4 linked regions of the Struthio camelus genome follow. The protein of the gene in region 1 interacts with the protein of each later gene in a biochemical or structural test. Links are inferred from orthologs where the notes say so. Each region holds a gene or a part of one and is shown on either strand. Other genes may lie near its edges.

Region 1 (7,473 bases):
AAAACAAAGCCTGTTTGCAGAGAATAAGGCTTCCACGGCTGTTTTGGCATCTTTTAATGTCAAGAGCCAAATGCAGCAATGAAAGCAAAAGTTGCGGCTCGAAGTTGCGGCATCGGCGGCCTTAGTGGGAAAACGGCCGGCGCAAGGAACTACCTTAAACAACCGTGTGGTGAATCAAAATAAAGGTAGGGGAGGGGAGGCTGGGAAACGCGGGGCTAGCCGTTAATTTCTTTTGTCTGGCTCACTTCTCTCCCGGTGACACGAGATCCCTGCTATTCAGCGCCAAATTCTGTTGAGCAAACAGAATGAGCGGAGCTGCTGCTGCGGAAAGAGAGCAAGAGCAAGCCCGGGGGGGGCCTGTGAACGCGCGCAGGTCCGCGGGGGCTGCCGGCCCGGAGCTGGCTCGGCTCGGCCCTCCCCGCGCTCGCTCCCCTCCTGCCACAGGAAACCCTCGCTGCTGTGCTCTCCTCCCTCGCCGATAGACGTGTGCACAGATTTATAGTGACAAGCGAGAAGAGGCCGCGCAGCTTTCTCCCTCTCTCGGGGTTTGATGAGTTTCTGCTCCAGATTGGAGCCACTCTTGAAAACGCAGGGGGCTGCTTGTTTTGGTTTGTGTTGGTGTTGGGGGAACAGGCGGGCCGCCGGGGGGTCTCCATGCCCCCTGCCGCGGTGGCCCCCCCGCCTCCCTGCGCATCCGGGAGCCGCTCGTTCCCCGGAGCTTGCAGGAATCAGCAGGCAGGAGAGTCTTTGCCCTCTGCTAAAGAAGAAAACACTACTAAACTTTTTTGGGGGAGAGGGGGAGGAAGACATTAAAAAAAAAAGTGAAAAAGGTGACCAGCCCGTGGATGACCCATGCAAATACAGCCTGGCCAGCATAGGGCTATTCAATGTATATACACCATAAGGGAAGCTCAGCGTTTTACGGGTCCAGATTAGCAGCCCTGCGTTCACGGACCTTAGAGAAGGCAGGCGGGAAGAGCCGAGCGAGCCCCGGGAAGGGCCGAGGCCCGGCCCGGTGCAAGGCGGGCGGCCCCGGCGGGGTGCGGGCGGCCGGGGCTGGCAGGCGGTTTCAGCACCGCGCATCAAAGTGAACGCTGCGAAGGCTTGAACATGGGTAACAATAATCAAAACCAGACTTTCCTTCCCACCACCACAAAGGCTGAGTCCCCACGACGGGGCTTTTTTGCAGGGCCCGGGGCACCCCGCCGGCCGGGACGGCAGCACCGCACTCCGCGCGCTGCAGAAGGAGGTAGCCGCTCCCGCGGCCGCTTGGGGTCCAAATTAACCCCCTATTAGCCTGCCTAATAGCCTGCAGCTAGTTAAACTCAACCCAGCTCACCCTTGGGAGAGAGCTTCAGGAAGGGGCTCATTATTCGCAGCAAATTGGGACTCCTCCTGAGGGGCTGAGCAAGGCCTCTCGCAGGCTCCCAGCCCCTCTGGAAAAGTCCGAGACGGCAAAGAACCGCCCTGGAAAAAGGGGGAAAACGCAGCTTTCCTCGGCCCCGTCGTTGCCCTCGGGCCGGACCCCTGCAGGCGCTTGGGCCTGGGGGAAGGAGCTGCCCCGCCGGCCCGCGCCCACCCCGGAGGGCACGTTGGGAGCGCAAACAGGCGAGAGCGGCTCTAGCCCGGACGCCAGTTTTGTTTAAGACGTGCAGCTTCCATCTGTTGCCACATAAACACACGCTAGCAGGATGCCTTACGCTCCAGCCCCCTATGGGGGGAGGAGAGGAGAGGAGACAGACTTGGGGGTAGCAGTGGTGAAAATCCCCCACCCCCAGCCTGTCCTTTCAGTAACCCCAAGTCCCCCGCGCCTCCCTGGACGGGACCCCCCTGGGCCACACGGGGCGGGGGGAGCTAGCTCCGGAGTCGTCCTAAACGCGTTTATTTGAAATACCACCTCCCCTGCTCGGGACCAATCCATAGGCACCGCCAGCACTTCGGGGGGGGAGCGGCCCAGCTGCTTTCCTGCTGCGGCCGACCTGCCCTTGCAGGCGGCTCCGCGGCCCCTCGCCCGACGCCACGGTCGGGGGCTGCCTGCGGGCCAAGCCCGGCGAGGCCCCCGGGGGCCGGGGAGGGCTCGAGGGTCCCTCCCGCTGCCGCTCCACTGGGAGAAACCCAGTGCCCGCCTTGCCCGGGGCACAGCCTCTCGCCCTGCCGCCAGCCCGTCCCCCGGCTCCCCTGCGCCTTGCGGGGTCTGCCGGCCGCGGCGGGGGACTCCTCGCCCTCCTCCTTCCTCGGGGGGGCGGGCGCGGGGCCGGGGAGCCACGTCGGGGGAAGCGTCAGCGCTGCCCCCGGAGCCGTCCTCGCCGGCCCAGGAGGGGCTGGGGGACGGGGACACCGCCTGCCCCGTCCCCTGTCCCTGCGGGAGCCGGCGGGCTCCCCGCCCGCAGCGCCAGGCTGGCCTAGCAGGCAGCTTTACCAGTCCCGAATTTGCAGTTTTGTATTTTTTGCTCGGTCCTGTGAGATGCCACATGGAAGCCGTTAACGAATGCTCGATAATGATCATGACAAAAGCATTATTCAAATGAGGCAGGTAATTGCAACCAGAAGGCGCGTTCTCCCCTTCCTTTTCCTCCTTTCTTTCTGCAAGAGTTCCTCTCCCATTACTTCTGATCCTGACGGTACTTCGCCAAGAATCACCTTCATCGCTTTGCACCTTAAACCAGATACACTTACGCCGATAAATCACAACCAAACGAAGCACGACCGTGCAGAATGTCCTCAGCGCTCACAGGGAGTTGTTGTAACCGATTTGAACTTTAAATCTTCGTGGCGCTTAAATCTGCGCGAACCCAGAGCCCTGATCAAATTAATGATAGGGTTTTTCTCCTCCAGCCTCCACAAATTACCGGGGTCGAGGCTGCTGTGTTTGCTTGCACCCCGAGGTAGATAATTCCAAGGTGCAGTGACTTTTTGCCTTGCTTTTTTGCTCGCTTGGAGCCTGTTGTTTATTCACAAGCATTACGGTATCCTGTTAGCATTCCGAACAAGGGGCTGCTCACAGATCTGACTCCGATGATTTCCTGGAGGAACATGTGGAAGCAATAGCGGGGTTGTGCACTCACCAGGCTGAGGATGCACTAGTGGAGAGCACGCAAAAGGCTGTGAGCACCACTGGGGACCCTGCAAACCCAGCCACTGGGACCTCAGCTTGAACATGCTTTTCACAGGAGTTGGTTCTCGTTTCTGCCCCCATTCCCTTCAGGGAATCTGCGCTTCAGAGGCTTAATTCTCCTTCTGTTAGGAAGGAGAAAAAAAGCACTGGATCCTGCTGCTTGACTTTGAGAACAAACTTTTCTTTTGTGCAACGCTAAACGGAAGAAAAATAAATAAATAGAAAAGCAGGCGCAGGAGGGAGGGTGGGCGAGCCGCGGGATGGGGGGGAAGCAGGAGGGAGCGCGGGGCGCAGCTCCGGCGTCGGTGCGGCTCCCCGGGCGGCGGCGGCGGCGGCGGCGGCGGCGGCGGCGGCGGCGGCGGCGGCGCGGCGCGCTCCGTTCCTGGGGCTGCACTGCCCCCTCGCCCGCGGCCGCCGCATCGCCCCGCCGCCAGCACCGGCGCCGCGCCGCTTTTCGCACGGACTCTCCAGAAAAAGGCAAGAGCAGCTCCCTGTGAACTCCCACGGCTACCTCTTATCGGCAGCAAATAGCAAGAGCCAACAAAGAAGAGATACCCGACTCTCCCCAGCGGGGATCAAAGCTCTGCCCAGAGCGTATTCAAACAGGACCCACTCAAACGTGCGCAGCCCTCGCCTCCACAGGCACCTCCAGCCCTCGGCAGTGCCCCGTGGCTTGGTTATTACTGGGTTTTGTTTGCGTGGAGCAAACCAAAGGAAGAGAAGAGTAGAAGAGCTTTCCCGATCCCGCCAAAGCGCCACGGTTTGGTGTGGCTGGCTCCTTGTGAAGGTTACCTTTCGTTGTGTCTTTCATTCATAAATATTAGAGATTCGTCTCTCTCCCTCTCTCAGTGCTTCCTGCTTCTGGCTGCCACCCAGCCGTCCATGCAGCTCTCTCTACCAAGCCCATGCTCAGTAGTGTACAAAGGACATGAGGAAGCTGCACATTCGTTTCCCGATCAAACTCCTCATCCATAAACTCACACTGTGACCGCGGACACCGAGCCCGGCGCCCGACCCACCTTCCTAGAGGGTCTGAGGAGGAAGGCTCATTCATGACATTGGGAACACTCTGAGTTTTCATGAAACTTTTTTTTTTTCCCCCTGCAGTGCAAAACTCTCCGATTCCCCCTTTCCTCCCCCTCGCCCCTGCCATATGGCTAACCTCCCCCCTCCTCTGCAAGGCTGGTGAAATCTGGAGGCTGAGACTGGCCCCCCTGCCTGCGTAAGAGCCCGCCGCCGGCACGCCCGCCTCCGGCCGCGGGGCTGGGGGCGCCGAGCGCGCCAGCGCGGCTCTTATTCTGAAGGGGCCGGAGGGGGCTTAATTTCCTGACAGCTATTTACTTAAAGCAAATGATTAGTTTTGGAAGGATGGACTATAACATTGAATCAATTACGGGACGCGGTTTGTGAGCCCATTACAGTCGGATCTGGAGGGAGGGCGAGCGGGAGGGAAAGAGCGCGGCGGAGCGGGGAAAGTCACAAAAGACGTGGACATATTTTGGATATTTTACAATCTGCAGGATTGTAACTGCGGATTACAAAGGAGAAGGTACGAGGTGAGGGAGGATTTTCCCACTTTTTTTTTCATCTTTTCTCCCTCTTTGTTGCTGTTGTCGTTGTTTTATGTTCCTCTCCCCCCCACCCACCCCACCCCCGTAATTTATGTGTATTTATGTGGGCTTTTTTAATGCTCTGTCGGCGGAGCCCCGGTGCGGCTGGACCGGGCGGCGGACGCCTTCCCGCGGGGCGCAGGCGGCGGCGGCGGGCGCTGGGGCCCACGGCGCTGCGCGGGGCGCGGGGAGCCGGCGCTGCGCGGCCGTCGGGGCGCGGGCGGCGAGCAGCGCGGGCGGCGCTAATGACAAACACATTGGGGCGGCGGGGGCCACCGCGCCGCGCTCCTGCCGCGGGGGCCGTAGCGCCCCGACGGGCTCCGCGGGCTGCTGCGGTGCCCGCCCCGGCGGGGACGGGGCCACAAGCACCGACAAAGCGAGGTAGGGTCGTGGCCAGCCGCTCTCTCTCTTCTCGCAACCCGTTTAATCCCCACCTCTGCCCTTGCTTCCTTCGCCCCCGCTGCTCTCCGGTCCCTTCCCCCACCCTTTGTTTTTCACCACCTTCCCCTCTTTAGAACCCCCTTCCCTGCCTAAGTCCCTCCGACCGGGTAGTCTAAAGAGCCTGAGACCCCGAGGAGGGGACACACAAACACCCCCCATCCAGGCAAGCCCATCTCCATCCTGGCGCGCCCCGTCTTTTTTACACGTCTCGGCGGAAGGGAAGATGCTGAATTCAGGCAGCCCGACTGGTACCTGGAGGCTTTCCAGCTTACAGCCCCGCTTACAACGGGAACCCAGCCCCGCTCCTCCCTACCAGACTCCCGAAGCCCACCGCCTTGCAACCCAGGGGAGGGCAGAGTCTTCACGGCCACCGTCTGGATTTTGTCAAGCGCGGAGGTTGCAAATTTGCCAGCTTCTGCCAGGCTGGAGTCCCCTGGAAAGCCCTAGGAGCAAGTAGGAAATGGCTTTTTGGCTGTCCACAGCATTGCTCAACATTTTTGGATGGCGATTCAGCAGCCCAGGAGCCGTTCCAGAGAACAGGACTTGGACAGCTTTTTCTGGAGCGAGCAGCGACAGATTTCGCGAGGCAGCAGCAGCAGCCCCCGAGCTGCAGCAGCCAGCCCCTGCGGCTTGCCCACATCCCGGAGGACCGCGGGAGTGCCTTGGCCACCCCCTGAGCCCTGCGCATGCTTCCCGTGCCCCTTGACGGCCTTTTTGGTGCATCTCTTGCAAATCCTGCAGCCTCCTGGCACACCGCTGGCACCCGGACTCCACCAGCCGGCATGGACCGGCATCACCGCAGGCTGGGTCAGGCCTGACGGACACGGTGCCCCTGGCGATTCCTGGCTGCCCCTGGACCCCACGGGCAAGTGTGTGCAGTCCTCCGAGAGGGTGCAGGAAGGTCCGTGTCTTGCCTGATGGAGAGAGCTGAGAAAAGAAGCCCGGAGCTCACCTCAAATCAGAGTGCCAACCATATTTAATCAGCTCTGGAGGGAAACGCATGTTTGCTCTCCCCTTCCCCCCTTATCCCTGTCGCCCTTTTCTTTTTCCTGGCTACCTCATGTGAAAAAATTTGCTCCAGCTTGGCAAAGGCTTTCCTATTGTTTCCTAGACAAACAGTGGTGGGCTGGGAGCTGCCATCTCTGCTAGGTTTGCTGGGTGTCCCAGGCAGCCTTTAGTCACCCACGGTGTAAGCAGTCAGAGCCTGGCTCAGCCGAGGAGCCGTGGGCACCAGGAGGCCCCGGGAAGTGGCACTTCTCCCGCTCCCTCGGGGCTTCTGGCTCTCTGCGAGCCAGACTGGGGCTGGCAAGCATCGACACCCCACGGTGGGGGCTGGAGAGCGTGAATGCACCCGCTCCCAAACTGAGCAGGCTGATAGCCTGGGTGTCCTCGGCTGTGAGGCAGGAGTGCTGGAGCAGCGGGACCCGCTGTTCTGGGCCAGCCTTGCTCCCCTCTTGCCACCTTTCCCCTGGTTCCCCTGTGCTGCCAAGCAGGGCTGGGGGCACCTTCAGGCACCCCGAGGCATCCAGGGAGGTCCCGTCCAGGGCTGATAGAGCCCAGCTGGGCTCCCGCCTTCATGTGTCGACTTGGCGTCCCTGGACGGGGCAAGAGACAGGATCTGGCAAAACGAGGGGACAAGCATCAAAGGTTCCTCTGTCAGCGGCTGGAGCAAAATGTGAATTGTACAGATCCGGCTTTTAATTATGGGTCTAGAAGTGAGAGGAAGATCTCCCAGCAAGGGACTTCACTTTTAGCTTCCAGTAAACAATGGGCGTTTTAGAAAGGCCCTCTGCTAAACAGTGGTTTAGTTAACCTTCCTCTCAGAGCTTGAAAAAAAGTTTAAAGAAAAATGAGGTCATACAAAGCACTGGGATTTAGGAGTCCGCAAGTAAAACAGCTCTCCCAGCTTGCAGGCAGTCACTCGTCGCTTAAAACGAGACTCCTTGTTCTGGTAGTGCTCTGTAGACATCAAGGGGGAGAAGGTGTGCCACACTGGCAGTGATTGGGCACTGGGGCCACCTTTCTTGTTATTTGCTGCTCGATATATGGAAGATTGTTGAGAGTAATATACATGTATTAGGTTTCAAGAAAGCGGGAAGTAATAAATATTTGAATAAAATGCCTCTCCACAATACTACAGTATCAAGCTAGGATTTGGGTGTCATTTATATAGGCCAAAGAAGACTTGCATGCTACAGACCTTGTTGGTAATTGCCAACTACATCACCTGGTGTAAAATGGAACATAAAATGGATTATTTTATACAAGTCTTGCCTTGCTTGTATCCTTTGTTCATCATGGCCGCAA
Region 2 (7,428 bases), on another chromosome or scaffold:
CCTAATGCAGTGATGACGGTTCTCTGCTAGTGTTTGCAGCACCTGCAACAGGACGAGCAGCCCCTGTGGTCCGTGCAGCCCCCATCAGGGAAGTGCAAAGCTGCAGGAAGTTCATGGGCCACATTTGCCCTGGGTGAGCTCGGGAGAGTTGCCCTTGGGGGCTTTTAGCCAGTGCATAGGGAAGCTCTAATCTTTGGATGCAAAAGGTAAAGATCCACTAGTTGGGCTGGGCTTCAAGTCCGGACAGAACTTGAGAGGGCTAGTATTTTGAGGAAAAAAAGGTGGGTTTTTTTTAAACAGATCATGAAACAGTTGATGTAAATATATATTAAGTATATATAGACATATATATGTGTGTGTATGTGTGTGTGTGTGCATATTATATATATGAAGCATATGATTTGCACACATAAAGTATATTTTGAGAGTGATTGTCCATTGCTTTCAGTGGGGCCAGCAGCTGTATTTTCATTTGGTAGTAGAGGGCCAGACTGGACTCAACAGAACAAGTCACCTCTGGGGACACTGGGGTCAGACCACCTGGAGGAGGGTTTTGTGCTGTGGATGCCAGGCCATGGCTGCATTTCTCCCAGGTCCAGCCCGGCTCCAGCCACCACAGCGGGCAACAGGATTGACTAACACAGTGGGACTCCTTCAGGGCTGGGTGAGCCGACCCTGCTCTGGGCTGCGGTGCAAAGAGTCCCATGAGGTTGTATATGGAGTCATTTTGGACCCAGACTAGGTTAGTAGCCCCGGCCAGGCTGGATCCTAGGGCCTGGCAGAGATGTGAGGCTATATCTATACCACGTTCTCCTCCTTTATCGGAGTTTTTCCACTCTTAGAGGTATCTCAGCCCTCTCTCTGCCCAAGATAATGGAGAGCCAGCTGAAATGGCATTTTAAACTCTTGGCTCCATCTACCAACAATCAGACAAAGCAAAGAGGCAGGATGGGAGAAACTGGCTTTCTGGAAACTTCTGTTTGATGGAGAGGGGTCACACCCCCTTCAATAGAGATCAGAGTCGGGGGTCATTTTGCATCTGCCTTTAGTGAAGAATGGTGGGAAGGGAAATTTAGCTCTGATGAGCTAATTAAATATATATATAATTTCCACTATGTTACCAAAAGAAAAAAAAAAGCCTTGAGCAGCTGCTAGGTCATTGTTTGTGAATTTAAAAATAAAAGTTTCTTGGCATAGTTTGCAGAGATGGAGGCAGTTTGTTGCACTGTCATTCCAGAGGGAAAGGGAGAGAGAGTGAAGGAAGGATGAGGCCAGGCAAGGATAGTTCAGCTTGACTACGTGTTGCTCAGGTGTGTCTTGGCTTTCAAGCCACTTTTCCCTCTGGCTGGCTTAGGTAATCAGTATCCTGCCCAGATGGTGAGCCTCACCAGGGACAGATTTATGGGCCCTACACCCTGAAGGGCAGGGAATGTCCTGTTCCGGGGTGGCTAATGGTTGTCAGGGCCCTGAGTGCAATAAGGGGCCATAATGGCCCTGGCCAGCCACCCCTGGGACCCTCTGCCCATGGGCCTGGGGACTCCATTTCAGCTCAGGCCAGGCACTTGCTTCTGGCCTGAGCTATATTGTGGGTTACAGCATGATCCCAACCCAGCTCCCAGGCCCCGTGCCCCATGCCTGCACAGTGACTTGCCCTGGCTATGATGCCACCATCCTGCCCCAGCTCCATGTCCTTGCCCCAGGTGGGCATCACCCAACCAGTAGCAGCCAGGGCACTTCACAAGGAGTAGGCCTTCAAGCTCAGACCCCTGTGAGGTGTGGGAATATACCCTGATGGTTGTCAGGATGCTGACTGCATTAATGGGCTCTAACTGTCCAACCAGCCTCACCTGGGACTTGCACTCACGCATCCTCTGCTCATGGCCCAGGAGCTCCATCTAACCTGAGCTATGCTGCAGGCACACCTGTGCCTGCTCCTGTCTCCTGCTCTCCTGACTTACCGACTGGTCTTCCTAGCTGGACTCCAGACCTATATTGTGGGTACCCTCTATCTCTGCCCCTGCTCAGGGACTAGGGGATCAGTGGGGTCACTGCCTGGGCTGGGGTCACCCTTGGCTCCTGGTGTGTCCTCTCCTGTGGAGCAGCCCTGCTCTTACTGTTTCCTGGCAATGGCGGCCACCCAGTCCATGGTAGGAGGCTTCATCTCCAGTGGCCTGGATGCTGATTTTTCCCTCCCCACCCTGCTGCATCCATTAGCCTGATGCTTTCTGGCAGCAGCTGCGTGTGAAACAGACCTGAACTTTTCCATTCTCCAGTCTCTGGCGTTGCCAGTTGTTCCTAGCTGGGAATGGGCATTAAACTCGCTATCTGCCAGCAAGCTGCTCCTTGTTCTCCCTTTCATGTCTTGAGACCCATGTGCTGTTTGCGTTGGCCGAGAGGCAGGGGAAGGGGGCCGTTCCCAGCACCCCAGCCCCACACAACTTCTCCACCTGCTCACGTGATATTGGCCGTGGCTGCTACTGCTTTCTGCCTCCTCTGCTTCTCCTGAGCATCCCGAGATGCTCCTTCCCCCCTCCTGTCCCATCAGTGGCTGTCACGCTTGGCGTGCTGTCCTTGGCACGTGAAAGCATCATTCCAAAGAGCCTGCCCCCACTTTCTTGGCAAAAGAGAAATAAAGAAAAGAGACTCACAATTTCCCCACTGCCAGATTTCGCAGCCAGGGAAAGAGAGCGAAGCGTGGGAGGGTCTGGCTGGCTTCAAAGCCCTGCTCCACCTGCTCGCCAACGCAGCCACGAACCCAGGGAAGGTCGGAGACGGGTCTTGGGAAACACTGCTCAAAGCAGGAGGAGGGCTGGAGAAGTTTTCCTTGCTTTTGAGGAAGACTCCTGGCCTGTCTATCTGGATCCCACTATCAGAAGGGACCTCTGCACCCCCAGACACTCCATGGCCGTGTTGGTAAGCTCCAGTTAGCTCTGAGTATCCGTCGCCTTGCGTAAAATACTGCTGGCCCACACCCCCCTTTCCACTGACACTGAGTGGTATTGCCAATACTCACAATCGAGGTTTTTTTCCCCTCCAGGAACAAGGTAGAAAGGTTTTCTGCGTGTGCACGTAAGACAAGTCTGTTTGTCAAGAGGTGTTGGCTCCCTCCTCACTGTGGTTATGGGAAGGCCTTTTTGTTTAAAGAGGAAAACAAATGAAAAGATTCCCCTGACACCCAGCCTTATCAGCCACAAACCCAAGGGAGTCCCTTGTTTAAACATCAGGAGCGCATTGCTGGCTAACACCCCCCACCCCGGGTCACGCTGCTTTTTTTCAGCTGGGCTGGGCTGGGCTGGGCTGGGGGGGTCTGCCTCTATTTGCTCTTTCTGAGTTGCTTTCTTCTTGCCTGACCTGCTCCGGGGGAGTGGGAAGGCAGCGTCGTATGTGAGGGTCCTACAGACAGAGAGCAGTTGCAGGGGCTGGTTGCAAAGCAGAAAGGCATTTTTCTAGGCAGAGCTGCGTCTGGAGCCGAGGGTGGGAACAGCTGAGGGTGCTGCGAGCAGGCTGAAACGCGTGGACAGCTTTCAGGGCATGGCAGGGCCAGGACACGAAGAGACAGAAGTGAGAGAGAAAGGTCCCTCTCCCTTGACCTCAAGTTTCTCTCTCATCCGTGCATACATAAGCCAGCGAGGCAAAAACCGTGTGCTCTCGCCATCCCTCTGTTATGAAAATAGAAGCTGGAGTCAAACTCCTTGGAATTCCCCATGCCTCATCGCTGGGGAGACAGGGTCGTGCTGGCGATGTGACCCCACCAGAAACCTTTCTGTGCACAAGGCTAGCGAGCAAAGAAGAGGGAGGCAGGGAAGGAGAGGGGAGTCATGAGCAGGAAACCAAGAACACATCAGAGGCTATATTTAGATCCTTTTTATTCAGCTCGGACAATATTCCTTGATTTCTCATTGTTCAGGAGAGGGCAGAGGGCAGGGGATCTATTGAAAGGCTTTGTCCTGAGAGATGCCACTTTGTCTGGGTTTACGGGGGTGGAGGAGTGGCACGTTAGGGTGGTCAGGCGCGTGCGAGGGGTGGATGTCCAGCCTGGGCTGCACTGCTTGGTGCGCATCTCAGGAGGGGCAGCCCTGGGACCCACAAAGCAAAGCTTGGAGCTAGCCCATTGCCATCCGCGATAAAAGGGGTGCTAGGGACCACCTCGAGGGCTGCGCCAGTGATTGGCGAGCGGGGCCTTTGCTTTGGGGCCGGTGCCCATGCGAGCGGGGCGTCAGACACAGGGCGTGTAGGTTAAATACACACCGGCTCTATACGTCTCGCTGTCTTTCCGGCATTGCAGCTCAAAGTCTATTTTTAAACTCCCTCCTTTATTACACACGCCGGCAGATAGCGACAGCCGGCCTCCCGCCGTATCAGAAGTGCTGCCCACGCACCCAGGGAGCAGGGTGTCCCCAGCACTGTGCGGGGAGCACCCTGCCCGGGGAGCGGGTGGGCGGCGGGTGTCCACCCGCTCCTCATCCCTGCGCCGGCTCCAGGCACGCAGGCTGCGGAGAAACCGGGATCTTGGTCCGTGTTTGCGCTGCTGCCAACCAAGCCAGGCCAGCTGGTGGCTACCCTGGCACAAGGGTGCCGAAGGGTATTTCTTCCCACCGCATCACGGTTTTGCTCTGAGCCTGCGGCTTTCAGGAGGTGAGGCTCGGGCGCAGCGTGCCCAAATTCACCTTCCCCCCGGTGTCGGCACAACCAAACCGGCGCAGGAGGGAGGGCCAGACCTCGGGGGGGGGACGCGCAGTGAGCGCGCCAGGGAGAAGGGGGCTTTCCGCCTCCGGCTGGGCCTGCGCCCTGACCCCCAGCCAGCACCGCTGAGGACGGGTTTTGCTCTGCGACGTGAGCAACGCTAGCAGGTGGGGGGAAGAAGAGCCGCTCGCTTTTGGTTTTCGACCCTCATCTTCATTTCATATCATGAGTCATGTTACGTTCTGAGCTGAGTAACTGCCGGGGCTATTTTTACTCTAGCTCAGCACGCTTCCTTCTTGACGCTGCTGCTGCCACCGCTTGCTGCAGACCCGGGGCGAAGGATGGGGATACGGTGAGTGGCAGGGGCTGAGGGCGCGGGAAGCGGTGTTTGGCGTGGTGTTGCTTGAGAGGGGGAATGCTCCCCACCCACTCAATTTGGAAACAAAAATAGTATAGCCCTATTCAAAAACAATAGATGACCTCTGACGTGTGGTGTATTCACCCGCACACACATACATATATATTTATTATACCGGGAGAGGGGAAGGGGGGAGGGAGACAAATTCCTTTCCAGTGCTATTCACCAGTCTGGAAAAATAAAGAAGGAAAGCAGAACATTTTTTCCTTTCATCAAAACAGGAAAGACGGGGGAATGGAGTGGGGAGCAGATCCATAGATATAATGGGTGGTTGCCAGAATACGGAAATTGTTCCCTTCTACTCTAAACTGGGGGGAGGGAGGGGGGGGAGAATATACGGTAGCGTGAGCAGGGAAGGCTGCATTGCCACCTCCCCTCCCCGGCACAGGAACGTGCATGCGTACAGGAAAGCCCTGATATATCAGTCCCCCCAGCTTTGCCTTCGCTCTTTGAATTCTGCACAATTCGCACATCCACGGAGATGCAAAGTGACTTTGCCTTCTCCTTCCTCCCAAAGCGTGGGGCAACAGCCATGCCCTGCACAAGCCCTTTCCCTCTCTCCTGTCACTGAGGTCCCTGCTCTGCCCTTTGGATGTGTCTGTGTGTCTTCCTCACCCTCTCATCTTTGCCAAATTTCTGCCAGGCATGGATGAAATGAAAGACGTGGTGAAGGGCAGGGAGTATCCCTCCACCGGGGAGAGACAGGTGGTGGGAAAACTCCCAGGGGTGGCCTGGCAGGTCACATCCAGTAGCTGCTTGCCAGGTGACACCTTCCCCTTTTCCCCCCTCTGGAGTCAATTCCTCCGTGATGATTTACTCATCTCTAGAAACCATTTACCCTGGCAGCTCCAGGGGCAAGACAGTGAATTTTGCACGCCCTGGATGCCTGAAACTCTGCCTTTCTCCAGCACCACATGTAAACCCAATGCTCCCTGCCTGTCTGTCTCCTTCCTTCGTTCTCTTCCCTGTTCCTCCTTTCTTTCTCCTTTAGACTAAACTGAGTTGTCAGGAAGTCGGTGCGACTCCCGTGGAAGTCATTGGGCCATATGGTGCAAATGTGGGCATAAGCTACGTACGTTTACTCAGTTCTGATCGCTTTGGTTGGGATAAACCTGACGTAAACAGGCCCCCGTGGTGTAAAACAGATACACTCGCAGAAAGGGCCTCCTGGTGTAGACTAAGCATCAAACTTACTCCGGGTGCTTAACGTCAGCATGACGACTGCTCCCCTCCATTGACAGTTGTGGCAGCCCCACAGAGTGGGCGTAGGGATTGCTCATCGTTCTCCTGAACTTAGGCACCAGAGTAGTCGCACCACCTAAGTTAGATACCTTGAGTGGGTGGGCTGACTGCAACTTGGCTTTCAACACCTCCTAATTTCTTTCCATTGATTGTTTTTCAAACGAGGATTCATCATGGAGAGGCTGAGACATCTCTGCTGTTCAGACCGAGTCTTGCTTTCCATTGTAAGCCCTGTTTTAATTCCTGCTGTTTCACAATTCTCCAAAAAATAAAAAAGAAAGGAAAAGGTATCACCCCTGACATTGTGCCTCTGTGGATGGTTGCTAGTAGATCATTTTCTCCACCAGCATTTAAGATGAGGGGAGAGGTCTCGCAGCAAGGAATTGTGTATTGTGCTGGGACACGTGTTGCCCGCTCTCTAGTAATAAGGACATAACTGAGGAGATGAGTTCAGCTGTTCACAGGTTAGAAAGCTATGGTGATGGTGAAAGTGTTTTAATAAGAAATGCTGCTACAGGCTCTTATGAAATTGCTGGGTTTTGCCGCAGTTTGCCTGAGGGGCTATTGTCAGCTGTCACACAGTTGCCACCAGACCTTGTCAAGTTGTGATGCTCTAGCAGACCATTTTTATGATCAAGCCACCTCACATAGCCTTGAAATATCTCCCCCAGCATAATGCAACGGCAGCACATATCTCCAACTCTTGTCCTGTGACATCTATGGCACTGATACCACAGCAGCTTTCAGAAGGGGGGCTCCGCACCCACCCCACGGGGCATGTGAAGGGAAGATAGAGTTGTCCCCATTAAAGCTGGGAATTCATGGGATAAATAACAAGCTAATTTCACAAAAGCAAGAGAATAAAAGGAGCTCCCGACTGGCTCAGGGCTCAGTAATTTTAAGTGAGTGCAATTCTATTGAACTCAATGCCAGTGAACTCAGTGGAGTGAGACTGGCACAGCCTGGATTGAAATACCTCACTAGAGAAAAATCTGTCCCCGTCTTAAAAACAGAAAGAATAAGGAAAAGCCACTGAAGCCTGAGTGGCTTAAATATTATTTTGCTCTCTTTCCAAGTGGGGTCAT
Region 3 (6,993 bases), on another chromosome or scaffold:
ACTGCTACGGGCAGAGTTGGGTCTCACCTGCCACTGAAGGCTCCCATGGGACCTGTTCCGTTCCCAGCAGAGCAAACCGTCTCCAGAACTATCATGGCTTGGAGTTATTGACCCACGCAGGCCAAACAGGACACAGCTACCTTGTGTATTCACTTTCTGCAGCACTGTGTAGCTTTACGGAGCCTTTTCTGATCCCTCCGCTTAACTGAAACCTCGTAGCAGATTTGCATCTTGTGATTATTTGAAAATTATCAACCATGAAAGCATCTGGAAAGCTGCACCAAAGAAAGTTTCAAAGCAAACAGAGCTCCGCCAGAGGGACGGAGCCGATGAAAGGATCCAAAAGGAAGAGCTGGAAAAGGAGGAAATAATATTTGTAGGTATAACAGCTGGAATAACAACTGTCTTGCTTGTTCTCCTTGCATCTTGCCTTGTTGCTCTTCCTGGGCCAAGTTTCAGGCAAGAGCCTGTTTTTCCTGCTGTAAGACCGTTTCGCGTTTGTACGCTTCACTCCCACCGGGGACATCTTTGTACCCGTTTCCCAAGGCAGGTGCCAGTCAAGCAAGAAGGAAGATGACCTACCCTCACCATTGGCACGCGTCCCTCTGAAACTACAAGCCAAAGAAATGAACATTCGGGAACAGAGAGAAACCACCCAAAGTGGTACACAGCTTCCTGTGTACCTTTCTGGGTTTGACTTCCTGAACTTTTATCCTGGCATTATATCGTTCAGCACTGATGCTCAGTGATGCGGGGTCTGAACCTCTGAGAACATTTCTTACGGTCCGTTGCTGGAGCCAGGACCCTCCCTGCTCTTGGTGCATTTTCAGCTGCCGTGACAGGACGTATCTAGCAGGATGCACTTAATCGCTTTGGATAGCCCCAAACAGCCCACTATCATAAAAGGAGGTGTCCCTCCCCCCCAAAAAAAACTAGCCAAAACTCATTCTGTTCTTATTCATTTTAATGTGATTACCAATGAGGAAAAGTCCTGGAGAGCACGCCCTCCCGCCACGGCTCGGTGGCCCCCCCCCAGCCCACGCACCCTTCCTGCGAGGCGGCTGGCACCCGCCCGCAGCCCGCGAAGCTGCTCTGAAACAGGAGGTGGTCCCACCAGGCAGCTTGACCTAGCCGCGTTTCTGACACCTGAGCCTGCGCTGCTTTAAACGCGAGGTGTAAATGGGGCTGGAAACGTCATTTAGGGGCACCCTGGGTTTATGCGTCACCGCTTGCAGAAACCGCTCGTGCCACTGAAGTAGTTTCATTTTGTGTCTGTATGAAGGAGCTTCAGCACGTTCCCCCTCCTCGCCAAGTGCTGCACCGAGCCTGAGGTCCTCCCTCTCCACCGTCTGTAACGGTCTGATGCTAGGCTAATTCCTAACGTTTGAGGGACTTCTAACAGTATGTGCAGCACCTTTAAATTAGACCAGTAACATCTTGCTTGCTCCGGTCAAATACATAAAAAAAGGGGCAAAAGATAATTTTCTGATGCTCTGTTATCTGTCCTGATTTTCTTTTAAACCTATAAATACCACCCTGTCACTCTTTCCACGTGTGTGGCTGTATGGGACACGTATGGTACGCACAGGGCTAACAGACCTGCAGGCTGCAGGAAGGGTGCCGTGCAGACATAAACTGCATTCCCCATTGCTCTTGTACACCGTTTTTCATACAGAAATGGTTTTGCATGCTTTATAAAAACTCTCACAACTTAGAGCAAATGCATTCTTATATCACACAACACCCAAGGAGAAAAATTTGTTTCATAAGGAGAGAGACAACCCAAGTATAAAGCTGTTTTCAGAATCTGTGTGTGAATTTTATTCACGTTCTCTGGTCTTGGGTCTCTTCTGGGATCTTACATATTTTACATTATTATCAAATATTTGCAATGATCCATATAAACAGTCTAATGTTAAAAGCTACTCCAAGTGTAACTTGACCCAGGGTAAAGATGCTTATCTGAGCTCAACAATGACAGATTTAAAAAAGATGCTGATGCAGTATGTTTCTCATAAAAATGAGGGAAATGCAAGAAAAATCAAAACTGCAAAGACTTCTTAACAATAGATAAATTAGAAGTTCTCTCCATGTTGGCTTTAGTAGAGGAACATCACTTGAAAGAGCTACACACAAACACCCAGCAATGCTGATGCCAGATACACATTAGCCAATGAACGAAGGAAAGAGAGGAGTAAATGCTCAGTGAGATCGGTACTGTCAGAATCTATTTCACTGTTTGGTAATTATTATTTTTATTACTATGACAACGCGGACCATAGGAGTTGTTTCTTTAACCCCAGCAAATGATAAGTGCAGATCAGAAGTTTTTAAACTGAAGTCATCACTTTTTGCTTCTGTGATGTCAACCGCTATGTAAGAAAGTGATGGCAACAACCAAAGTGCCCAGCTCTGGTCTGCCTCCAGCTTACCCTGCTGGCCTGAGAGCAGCCGGCGAGGACGGGTCTGCTGCAATGTGGCACTCGAACCTTCTTCCCTTCTCTTTTTTTTTCCTTTTTTTATCAGAAGGCATTTGGGAATGGCTCCACACTGGCTCAGCGTTTTCTGTTTGGGGGGGGGGGAGGAAAGAAAGGCATTCCCCTTTTTAAAGTGCTTCCAAATCTTTTACATTTCTTTTCCTTTTCTCCCTTTTCAACCCCCACCTTTTTTCCCCCCCTTGTGGTCCTGGAGACCACCCTGTAAGTCTACATGACATCATGAGAGAGAATTACACGTACTTGAAAGGCCACTTCTGTTTTGGTGGGAACTTCTATGCAATTGCAAAGTGCCCATTAAAGCACAGGTTGTTTCCTAGAAGCATGTCCAAGCCAGTAGCGTGCAAACCCCTTCAGGGCTTCTAGAAAGCATTCGCTTTTGAAATGCTGAAGGAAATTCAGAGATGAAAGGATAAGTCTCCCTGGCTGTGCATTTACAGTCTATTGTCTTCCGTGAAGGATAGTATCACTCCTCAGTTGTGTTATTGCAGTTAATCCACTTAAATGCTATTGGATTTTCAGACGAGCTGAATTCTTTGCATCTGCTATTAAGATGCTTTGTTTAGCTGAGAAAGGGCTGTTATTTAAATCACAATGAGTTCAGGGAGATGTCAGGGTGCAGCAGGCACCTTGTGCCAATGCGCGCCGGCGAGAAGGGGCATTTTCTCGGCGGGCCGGCGGGGAGGGAGGCGGCGGCGGGAGGGCGCGCTGCCCCCGGCGGCCGCGGGCGGCTGCGGGCAGGGGCGGCCGGGGCGCCGCGCCTCCGCGGCCGCGGCGGGGAGCCCCGCGCCCGCGCATGCCGCAGCCAGGTGCCGCAGGGCGGAGGGCGCCTGCCGCTCACGGCCACCCCGCGCTGCTTAATTTTTATTTTATTTTATTTTATTTTTGAGGGGGTGTGTGTGTTTGGGGGGGGTGGGTTATCCCGTGCAATGCAGGCTGAACTGCAACAGAGAAGGAAAATTAAAGAAAAAAAAAAAACCCCACCCCAGCGCCAGTTTGTCCCTCCCGTTTTGCAAAAGGCGAGAGCCCTCGGCCCCCACCCCCCCAAAAAAAAAAAAAACCCAGGACCCCTCCTCGATCAGGGCGAGCTCTTTCCGCCTCACCGCAGAGGCAGGGCACAAGGTGGATGCCGGCGGGGCGCAGGGCGGCCGCGGCGCAGCGCCTCCAGCCCTTGGCCGCGCCGCCGCCCCAGTGCCGCAGAGGGCCGGGGCGGCGGGGGCTGCCCCGCTGCCCTCGGCCCCTAGCCCTGCCCCGGCTCCGCGCTTTCTTCCTATTATTATTATTATTATTATTATTATTATTATTATTATTATTATTATTAATTCCGCCCCCCGCGCGGGCGGGCAGAGCCCCTCTGGCGGCGGAGCAGGGCTGCAGCTGGCGGCACCCCCGCGGCGCGCTGCTCGGGGGGCTGGGGCCGGGAGGGCCGGGGGAGGGCCGGGGGAGGCGCAAGCGGCGCGGCCGCGCTATATGCTGCTCCGCCGAGCAGCCACGCTGCACACAGGCCAGCGCTTCGCAGCCCGCCCGGCAAGGCTCCCTCCGCCAGGAGTTGCAGTTCGTCTCCGATCCCCTTGGGATTTAAACCTTCTTGCATATATATATATATATATATATATATATATATATATATATATATATATATATATATATATATATTCTTTTTTTTTCCTTCCTCCTCCTCCTCTTCCTCGCTTTTCTCCCGTGCAAAGTGGAGAAGGGAACTGCACCGAGGCAGCCAGCGAGATCTTGCAATATTGCTCCGATTTATCACTGCTATTATCTATAATTAATTATTATTTTTAACCTCACCCCCAAGCCGGGGAGGGAAGAGGGACCATTCTCAGCAAGAGAAACATTTCGATCCGTATCAATAAAGATCTTTTGCTTTTTTTTTTTTTTAATTTTTATTTTCCCCTTTTTGCAAAAGGGGCAGAGGGTGGAGGGCAGCCTAGCGGGGTGGGAGAAAATCCGGCAAATAAGAGAAATCCATCCGTCCTAATCCCGAGCGGGAGGCCGCGGCGCGGCGGGGGGAGGCGGGCCCCAGCGCCGCCCGCCGGGGGGCGAGCCGCCCCAGACAGGTGATGGGCGTTTCGGCTGCGCTCCGGATCGACTCCTTGGGTTTCACTTTGGTCTGATCTAAGCAAATATGCAGAAGTACCGGCTGGTCTAGTCCTAAGAGCCAAGAGGAGCGAGCGAGAGCAGCAGACACGAGCGCAGCCACGCTCCCGTAGCGAGGGGAACATACAAACACCGGCAGCGCCGCGATTAAACCACCGCCGCCCCGAGGCAGCCCCGGCCACCGCGGATGCGGAGCAGCCCCGAGCCACCCCGCTGTCTCGCCCCTGAGGGATGGTACTGAATTTCTGCGCGGCAGGAGCCGGCCTGCAGCTCCTCTCCATCAGCGTTGCCTTCCCTCCGTGTCTAAAGTGCATTAGACCGCGATGAGGACCTGGGCTTGCGTTTTGCTGATAGGTTTTGGCTACCTGTCCTTTACCTTCTGCGAGGTAGGTGAGAGCGGCTTGTCGCGGTCGCGGGGCCCGGGAGGCGCCGCAGCCGGCGCTGGGGCGAGCCGGCGGCGGAGGCACCGGGGAGCGGGCTGCCCGCCCGGCGGCCGCGGCATCTCCGCGCCTGGCCTGGCCGGCGGCGCTCGCCCTGCCCCAGCCCCTGCGCGGCCGCGGCAAAATAGCGAGTTGCCATTTCATGCATGCCGGAGGCGAAGGGCAATGACCGTGCATTCCGCTGCGGGGCTGCAGGCTGCAGGCGCGCTTAAAAAATATACATGTGTGTGTATATATATAAAAATATATAGAAATATATATGTTATATTCACGCCTCTCCCCCCCACCCCGGTGCAAAGGGGCTGCGATTACTTGCAAACAGAGCGCAGCGCGGAGCCGCCGGGCAGGGCCGCCCCGCGGCGCACGGCGCTGCACGCCGCCGGGCACCGTTGGCGAGGGCCGCGGCTCCCGCGGGCGCCCCGGGGCGAAGTTGGCTTAATACAGCCCGAAACGCCCCTCCGCGGCTTTGCAGACGAGCCGGGTCAGAGTGGGCGAGGGTCGGGCTCGAACCCGCCGCCCGGGGGCCGCCCGGGGGCGCGGAGCCGCTTGCCGGGGTTGCTACAGGTGGCCGCGCTGGGGTCGGGGAAGGGGGGGGTGCTCGGCGCTGCCGGCGGCCGTAACTTTCCCGGGGGCGGCGGCTGCGCAGGGTGGGAGCTCGCGGGCCGGCGGGGCCCCGGCGCTCCGCGCTCGCGGAGCCCGCGCTGAACTTTCGGCCGCTCGGGCAAACTTCAGCCCTGGGAGCCCGGGGTGTGTGTGTGTGGGGGGGGGGGGTTGCAGCCGGCGGGGGGCGGCGGGGAGAGGGCGGCGGCAACGGGGCGCAAACTCCGCGCCGGGTCGGGGCCGCGCGGGCCGTGGCGCAGCTCAGCGGGCGCGCAGCGGGGCGCGCTCCAGCAGCCGGCGGGGGTTTCGGGGGGGAGGGGGTTGCCCGTGCCTCGTCCCTACCCCCTGCGAGCACCCCAAATCCCAGCCCCGAAGCACCAGACGCGGAGGGCTGCGCGGTGACCCGCGGTGCGTGTGTGTCTTTGAAGGAGGCCGAGATCCCGCAGGAGCTCATCGAGCGGCTGGCGCACAGCGAGATCCACAGCATCCGCGACTTGCAGCGCCTCCTGGAGATTGACTCCGTAGGTAAATTAGTCCCGTCCTCCTTCCTTCCGCGCCGTCGGCCGCCGCCGCCCCGCGGGGAGGCTCCGCGGGCGGCTGCGCCCCGCGCCGGCCCCCGGCCTCGGCCCCCGGCCCCGGGGCTTTATTTGCCGGGGAGGCGGCGGCCAAGGGGCCGATGGGGCGTTCAGAGTTGGGGGCGTTGAGGGTGGAGGGGCAGCCGGCCACCCGGCCACCCTCGGCGTTTTCAGACCGCGGCGTTTCTCAGCGGGGAAGAATTTCCATAGGGTGTAGTTGTTGCCCTTGCATTGCTCTGTTATCTTTAAACTACTGTCCTAGAGGCATTTAAAATATTTGAAACAATATTTATGAATGAAGTAATGTCTCTTCAAGAGCTGGGCTTTATTAAAAGGAAAATAAACCCGTCCATACTGATTTTAAACAGGAACCTGCCTATGAAGCTTACCCTTAAAAATACACTTTTTCCAAAAGAAAATAGCGCAGGGTTATTTTCTGCATCATTAGGCATGCAAATGGGTGTAGTGAGAACGTGCAGTTCAAACAAATCGTTGCAGCAGTAAATCAGATCCAGGAGCACTGTATAGCTGGGTTTCTTATCGTTTGGTTTCACTTGATGCACTTTGTTCTTGGCAATTTCTTCTCTTAGTTGAGAGAGAATAAACCCGGCACCTTTGATGTGCCCAGGGGAAACCTGCATCTTTCTGAAGAACAAACATGGAGAAAAATGAATGAATTCTTGCTTGCGTTGGTACCGGGCCATCTCCTTTTGAACCATATGCTGTGTATTTTTGTAAAGTCTGTGCCAGGTTCAGTCACCTTCA
Region 4 (7,609 bases), about 17 Mb from region 1:
TCGGGTACTTTATCACACATCCATAAAAGATTTTGTACAAAAACAGTATTTAATAACTTAGTTTAAGACTTTTTTGCACAATTAAAAATAATTCCATAATGTGAACATAAACATTTAAACCTCAACCCTGCTATGCCAGCAGTCAGTTCATATGTAACTACACTGAAATCCAGAGAACCTAGCACAAAAGCAGACATTTGCCTGTGCATCTGGATGATCAGATGTTTATTAATTTTAAATTACACGCTAAACTTTGCAAAATGCTTGTTTTTCTTTGGTATGATTTCACAAAGAATATACAGGCGTATCTATCAATTGATTTTTTTTCATTCGTGATAGGAAGTGAGACAAGGACTGGGGAGACAAGAGGATCAATCTTCTGTTCCTAACACTGGGTCTTAATCCTGCAAACAATTATGTAAATGCCTAACTCCAGCTCTTGTGAGACCTGAATTTGATAGAACTAATTGTGTTTGTGGAGTTACACATTTCCTGAAGCACTTCCCTTTGGCTGCATCTCATGCATAAAAAGGGGTTTATGTCTTAGCCTTTTTCTGTTTTCCTCCCCAATATTGTAGTCTTCCCTCTATTCCTCCCCAGAAGAGAAATGCTTATCTCATGGTCGGGGGAGTGGGGGGAGTCTTTCTGAGCACAGCATAAAGAGTAAAAAATAGCATGCTTCCTTACAGAACTTGCTTGGAATATCTAAAACCCATGGAAGCCAGGTGAATCTCTTGGTGTCAGTTCAACTCGTAAAGGACAGAATATGCATCTCTCCAACTCCAATTCACTTCAGTAATTCATTAAGTTAATAATAATCAGAGAGGAAACCTTTTTATTTCAATAATTTTTATAGTTCTGTGATAAAAAGACTACACACCATCACAATGAGACACTAGAGTCCGAAAAGGATAAATTTCCATTGCCTTCTCTGGGCACTTAGTTTCAGTAACATTATTTCTGGAACTGGAGCAAAACAAATCCTGTGGGGCAATCCAACCTAGATAATTAGAATTTTATTCTAGTAAACAAAAATCACTTAGAAGAATTCTAAATGATAATGAAAAAACAGCATTATAAAACAATTTGACAGGGACAAATCAGTGTTGCTACTCTGTAGAGCAAATTATGTCTCTCGAACTATTTGAAGATGACAATTAATGGAGAAATGCCTGTTGCAATATTCAAATTAAAAAAATACTTGACACACAATTGAATAGACTATATTAAAAACACCTTGAAAATTCAAAGAAGTAAAAACGTTCCTGATACACCATCAGAAAGACTACATAATGTAAGCTAGGTGGTTGTGGGAAGAGATATGTGATGGCAACTGACCAGGGGATGAAAGATAAAGAAGACTTAAGTGCAGTTCTCAGCATGGAGAGAAGTTAGGAATAGAAGGCTATGTGTAGTTTAAAACACTTATTATGGATGCAGAAAAGAAAGTGAACACTGAATTATCAAAACATGAATGACCCAGATAGCTTTAAAAAATCTGGAGAAATCTGGACACTGGAGTTGCTAGAACTCACATGCATTGGCATTGTGGTCCCATGTTAATTCAGTATTGGCAATGCAGGGTAATGTGCACTGGCAAGAATGATCTGGACTATACATACACTGCTTTGACATAATTGTCTAGCCATTCAGAATATTTTTTAAATGTCAGTATTACTGTGGATCATTGCAGGAGCAGTGGCAATAAAAAGATAAAAAGTATGCATAAGAATTGTCATACACAATGAAAAATAAATATTCTGTTTTAACTATATTTAAGAATATAACTATATTCTATATATATAAAAAACTTGTATAACTATATATATATATAAAAGAATATATAATAATTTAACTATATATAAGAATCCCAGCCTTCACCTGGAATATTGTGTTCTGGTTGTCCTGCCCCAAATAAAGTATAGCAGAAATATAGGGGACTCTGAAATGCTTAGAGGTACAGAGATATTCAGATGAAAAGCATAGTAAATATGCATAGTTTGGAAAGGATATGATAGGGTTATAATACAGAAAATAAATAGAGTGAAGAAGTTAAGTTGTTTATATTTACCTATTCTCATAATTCAAGCACATAAATATACTTGATGAAACTGGAGAGTAAAACAAAAATCAAAAATAAGCATAGATATCTGGTAATAAATGCTCAGCATGAATTTCAGAGAAGATTGGATGTTTATAAGGGTAGCGATTAACACACACAATATTTTGTTTGGGATTAACAACAAAAGCATTTTTGAAAGGGATGTAGAGTCTTATGATCAAAAATATACCCTGATCTTTAATTACTGAAGGTTAAGAATAAAAGCTCCCTCTCCAGATAGTGTTATTCCATATTCATCCACTATGGGGTTTCTTGCATTTTCCTTTGAAATGTCAGAGCCGGGATGCCATAGGAAACACTACTCTGATGCAGCCTAGATTTTCAAAGCTATAGAAGATGTTGGATGATTTAGCTTTCATGTACACAGTTTGAGACATCGTATAAGGTCCCTGTTTTCAGAGCAAACTCGTCATCCATTTCCTAAAATACAAAGAACCCTCTAAAAAATCCTCAAGCAATGGAAGTTAAGATACAGTGCAATATTTCATTTATTTGATTACAAAAAACACAGCTTGTAATCCTCAAGGTAAAAGATCTGAGAGTAGTACATTTTAATTTTCTTACCATTTTTAAATAACAAAGATGAAATCAACAAATAATAAATAACAATAATAAAAATAATAAATACATAGTCTGCTTAGTCCAGTAGCTTGCTTTCTTCAGACTGTGTAAGGGAAGGGTTGCCATTCACAGTATGCTCCAACTCTACCTTTCAAAACACTGTTCAGTTTGGACAGACAGCTTTCATCTCCAACTAGAATATGTCACTTATTGAGAACAGAGGGGATGCTTATCAGTGTTATCATTGTTACCCTGTAGCTGAGGAGAAGAAATAGCTTAGTTATATAATATGAAGAGCTGGGTCAAGGGATAAGAAATCTGTACAGAACGTACAAATTCCAGTAGTGCAGACTCCGTTCTTCTCTTGCATATCTTACACAGGTGGCGAGTGAGACCTCTGTGGTATGGATCTTCCCATGTGTCCCCCAAACCACCTCAGAACTATGGGGGCTGGAGTCACTATTTAAAAATTTCCCAGATGAGAGGAAAGGCTGAAGCCTTCCTGTCACTTCCCTTGCACTCCCTGTATTTAGTTAGCACTCAGTCTTGTTACCCAGACCCGTCACATTGCCATGGGTTTGAACCCTACTCTAAACAAGTTAGAAAGTTTGTCAGCTGTAACGAAGAAGTTGGAACACGACTTTATCTTAATGGATGCTCATATCATCAGTCCTTTTAGGCCTCACTAAAGTTAATGGGAGGATACTCCTCAATAATTCCCGTTCAGGCTGCTGGAGAAACAGGAAAAAAAGCCATTCTAGAGAGTGTCTGCTTTATGGATAACACTTCACTGAGTGCTACACAGCATTTCATCAAAAAAAGAGAGACAGCTGTAAAAAGTTGAATAAAAGAAGGTAGCATTTCCATCTATTTATGTAAATACTTAAAGGTGTCATTTCAAGGTAGCTGAAACAGCAAATTCTGTCAGAAGAAAAATAATCTGTACCCAGAGTCTTTTTAACGTTCTCTTCATATTTCGTTTCCAACCATCAAGGAAATGCTTCCTATGAAATGTTTAACTATGCATTAAATTTTCAAGTACAAACCCAACTACCATAAAAACATAGTATTAGCCCAGTAAACAAATACCGGTAAGTCAGCATAACGACTCATCCTAATTACTAAACCCAGAAATTGGCCTGGACCGCAGTGACCTCAATCCCTCACCCAGACGCTCGTGCCCCGGCCAGGAACCAGGGGTGGCTTGTGGGCACCCGCCTGCAGGGCCAGGGCCAGAGCCGGGGGCCAAGGCCGCCAAGGCCAGGGCCGCCAGGCCCGCGGGCCGCTGCTGCTGGCGTTTGACAGGCTGCCCCAAGGCCCGCCGCAAGCTGCCAAGCTAGGCCAGGGGTCCAGGCCTGCCGCAAGCCCGGCGGCGCACAACTCCCGAGTTTTTGCCCCGGCGCAATTTTGGAAGCGGTCAGTACGGGTGGCTAATGTGTGCTGTTACTGAGGCAGCTGAAAATAGGGTATCATAAGCTCTCAAGGTCAAAAGGTCCTTCTCGCTACAGAGGCATTTTCGGCAGGGCTCAGGCACGGCCGCGGGGCCACGGCGGCACCACCTCACGGCGCAGCGGCCAAGGGGGCACTGGCCGGAGAATTTCCGTTTTCTTTCTGCTTCCAACCCGGGGCAGGGAGGAGATTCCCCGTGTATCGGTGCTTCAGCACCTGCCACGGCCGGCCGTCAAGGCGGGCGGGGGGCGGCGGGGGCGACCGGGCGCTGCCGGCCCACTCCCGCCCTCCCCCACGCGCCGGCCGGCCCAACGGCCGCCGCCGCCCGCCCAACGGCCGCCGCCGGCTCCGCGGGCAGGGCAGGACCGGGCCGGGCCGGGCCGGGCCGGCCCCGCGGCTCGCCCTCCCTCTGCCGGCCCCGCGGCTCGCCCTCCCTCTGCCGGCCCCGGGACGGGCTGCCCGCGCTAGCGGGGCAGGAGTTGGGACAGGGCGCTTGGCGTGAGCCCGTGCCGGGGGAAGGTGAAGGGAGAGCGCGGCGAGAGGGCTTTAAAGCAGGGGAAGATAGAAGGGAGGAGTTTAGGGAGAGAGACGAGGGTTCCTGGGAAAGGGAGTTTGGGAGAGAGGTGCTCCAGGAGAGAGCTGGGAGGGGGCCAGAGGTCTGCAGGAAGAGGCTGCGGAGGCAGGACCGGCGTCTGAGGAGGGAGCGGAGCGTGGCGAAACTCGCCGGCGCCAGGGGCTGCCCAGCCCGTTTGTACTAATTTCTTCCCAAGCGAAAACTTCTTGTGACTTAGGAAGCTCAAACCAGGTGCGGGGCAGCGCGGGGGCGCGGAGCACCCCCGGCGCCCTCGCCCTGCCCCGGCTTGGAGCCCCGCGCCGCCCTCCGGCCCCGAGGGGCAGGGCAGAAACGCCCGAGGAAGGAGCAGGCGAGAGCGAAGGGGAGCCCCGCCGGGGAGGTACGAGACGCTGCCCGAGCTGGCAGCGCGGCTGCTGATTAGAGGGCGAAGAAGGTATTTCCCCGGCAGTGCGGCCTCCCTCCTTCCCTCCCTCCCTCCCTCCCGTCGTCGCCGCCCGCCCGCCCTGCCGGCCGGCCCGGCCGCGCCGCTGCTGCCCGGCTGACAGGTGCGCGCTCCTCCGCGGCAGCAGCGGCCCGCTCGCCCCCGCCTCTCCCGGCCCCGCTGCCTGCCGTGCGCCTTCGCCAGCCTCGGCCCCCTCCGGCCCCCGCCCGGCGCTACCCCGGATTGTTTAGTCCTTGGGAAGCTGGTCTGGGTCCAGGTTTTGCTTTGATCCTTGAGAGAGAGAAGAAAAAAAGCCAAAGGAAAACAAAACCTGGAGACGCAGCAAAAGGCTCTAGGAAAAAGTTTTGGATGGGATTATGTGGAAACTACCCTGCAATTCTCTGCTGCCAGAGCGGGCTCAGTGCTGCCTTCTCCCCAGCGGCGCAGCCCGCGCCCGGCGCTGGTGAGAGACGCGCGGGCCTCGGTGCCGCTCTGCAAGTGCCTGGTGCGCCTGAGCCCCTCGCCCCGCCGGCCAAATGCTCCTCCTGGCGCTGCTCCTGCTGACATCTGCCCTGGCCGGCCGGCGGCCCGGCGCCGCCGCGGAGTCCGACCTCAGCAGCAAGTTCCCCTTCGCCGGCGCCAAGGAGCAGAACGGTAAGGCGGCCTGCGCCGCGCCCGCGCACCCGGGCGCCCTCCTCTCCCGGCTTGCGGCCGCGGGGCTGCCGGGCACCCCCGGGGCAGCGCGGCTTCCCGCTGCGCGCAGTGCGCGGGGGGCCCGGGCCCGGGCCCGGGGGCGGGGTGCGGGGCGCTTCGTGGCCCGGGCGAGACCGGAATGAATGAGACTGGGCAGCTGTGGTCTCGCTGGGCGCTTGTCACTGCGGGGAACTTGTCAGCCCCGTTAAGTGCAGCCCTACAGGTAAAAGGGCATCGGTTAGCTGGCCGGAGGAGAGCACAGAGCCCCGGAGCCTGTTTGGAGACTCTCCTTCCCGTGGCTGGAGGTGCAAAAAATCTTTTTGGAAATCGCATACCTTTGTGCCGTAAATGTTTGGCTCTCGGGGGGAGGGTTTTTTGTGTCTGAGCGTGAATGAGTGGTATTTTGTATGGGCTGGAAACGAGCTAATCCTGCGTAGGAAATGAGAATTACTTTCAACTTTAAAGTGTACCTGAAATGTTTAGAAAACTCTCAAATGCAAGCTCCCTTGGGCTGGGATTGCATAGAGTTGGAGAAAGACTCCTTTCATACAGCAAGGGCAGCTTCAGGGTGTGTAATTTGCTTACCCTCTGAACTCCATATGATTTACATTATTCAGATTTTTAAGCGCCTTTCCTCTTGATCTGCTATTATGAAGTCATTTTAAAGAATATTTTACAAACTGAAACGTTATGTACTACTACATGAAACCACACTTAGTGTAAAATATCTAAAGTTAGGGCTGTTAGTGTACATTCATGGAAACCATGGTGCTTAATGTAAGGAAAAAATATTTTAGTAGTTTGCATGTCAGCTAGAATGAGATTTCTCCCTGGGCACAAACCAAAGCAGAAGGACAAACTGAGAGCTCCCCAAGTTCTGTGCACTATCATGAAGCAAAGCAAAAATGCGGATTCAAGGCTAGTTCAATTCTTTCAACTTTGAACTCAGGGCTCCCTTGATAAAAGTATCCTATGTCATATCTTTTAATAGAAAGCGAAGGCTCAGAGACTTTTGCAAAGCATTATGAATTAATAGAATATGTAATATGCTATGAAATTTAGCAGGAGAGATTACTACTGCTCTGGCTTCTAATGTGATGATATATGGCACCTGCAGACTGCCATACCCGCTGATCAAAGAGCGGTATAGGGATCAATCTCTAATCAGAGCAACTGTGAAGGGCCCAGGGAGGGTGATCAAAAGAATCAGAAACCCAGCTATTCTGACAGGAAACCAATCAGACTTTGTGCACAGTGCAGGAAATTACCTGCTCTGTATGAGAAAAGAAATCACTCCCTTTCTCCCCCTTCCCGGTTTATCTGGCATTTAGAGGTTTTGGGGCACCTGATTGTGGCAAAAAAGCCCTGGTGCTAACGTACTAGAAACTTGTACTGTTATGCTTCATGCTGTTTAATTAGCATGGTGTACATGTGAAGCATACTGACATACACAGAATTACCGGTGTTGAATTTTGTCAGTCTTGGAAAGAAAGCTAGTATGTTGTCAATCTGCCATAGGAGGTTTGTTGTGTGATAGTGTAGCTGGGCCTTAAAAGGGCACCAAGGTCTAACAATGGGAGTACAACAATCAACTGTAGAGGGTGGGCTATACAGGACAGAAGTAAAACTGGTGTAAATTGGTGTAAGTATAAATGACACTGTACGCTCCATTCTGTTCACATACATCAGAAATGCAGCTGCCCTAGGTCAAGCTTCAACTGGTTTTCAGTGCAGCTTGGCGTGCTGTAAGATACAGTCACTATGTCTTATAATGTGCAAATCCAGGAGA

Evidence for each region.
Region 2: the proteins of PDGFRA (region 1) and PDGFB form a complex in vitro, tested with the Homo sapiens proteins (3 studies listed by BioGRID). The link is inferred for Struthio camelus from reciprocal best matches to the Homo sapiens genes PDGFRA and PDGFB.
Region 3: the proteins of PDGFRA (region 1) and PDGFA form a complex in vitro, tested with the Homo sapiens proteins (2 studies listed by BioGRID). The link is inferred for Struthio camelus from reciprocal best matches to the Homo sapiens genes PDGFRA and PDGFA.
Region 4: the proteins of PDGFRA (region 1) and PDGFC form a complex in vitro, tested with the Homo sapiens proteins (2 studies listed by BioGRID and IntAct, with this or other methods). The link is inferred for Struthio camelus from reciprocal best matches to the Homo sapiens genes PDGFRA and PDGFC.

The regions. Positions count from the first base shown.
Region 1 is NC_090945.1:56,954,092-56,961,564, reverse strand, and holds the start of PDGFRA (platelet-derived growth factor receptor alpha), read left to right. Parts: upstream 1-4,471; 5' UTR 4,472-4,517; exon of another isoform or gene 4,518-4,635; 5' UTR 4,636-4,664; exon of another isoform or gene 4,665-4,671; intron 4,672-7,473. UniProt on the Homo sapiens protein: Tyrosine-protein kinase that acts as a cell-surface receptor for PDGFA, PDGFB and PDGFC and plays an essential role in the regulation of embryonic development, cell proliferation, survival and chemotaxis.
Region 2 is NC_090942.1:58,076,338-58,083,765, forward strand, and holds the start of PDGFB (platelet-derived growth factor subunit B), read left to right. Parts: upstream 1-4,420; 5' UTR 4,421-4,635; intron 4,636-4,776; exon of another isoform or gene 4,777-4,962; 5' UTR 4,963-5,035; intron 5,036-7,428. UniProt on the Homo sapiens protein: Growth factor that plays an essential role in the regulation of embryonic development, cell proliferation, cell migration, survival and chemotaxis. Potent mitogen for cells of mesenchymal origin.
Region 3 is NC_090956.1:7,681,466-7,688,458, forward strand, and holds the start of PDGFA (platelet-derived growth factor subunit A), read left to right. Parts: upstream 1-3,986; 5' UTR 3,987-4,936; coding exon 4,937-4,999; intron 5,000-6,081; coding exon 6,082-6,178; intron 6,179-6,993.
Region 4 is NC_090945.1:40,445,318-40,452,926, reverse strand, and holds the start of PDGFC (platelet-derived growth factor C), read left to right. Parts: upstream 1-4,607; 5' UTR 4,608-5,663; coding exon 5,664-5,781; intron 5,782-7,609. UniProt on the Homo sapiens protein: Growth factor that plays an essential role in the regulation of embryonic development, cell proliferation, cell migration, survival and chemotaxis. Potent mitogen and chemoattractant for cells of mesenchymal origin.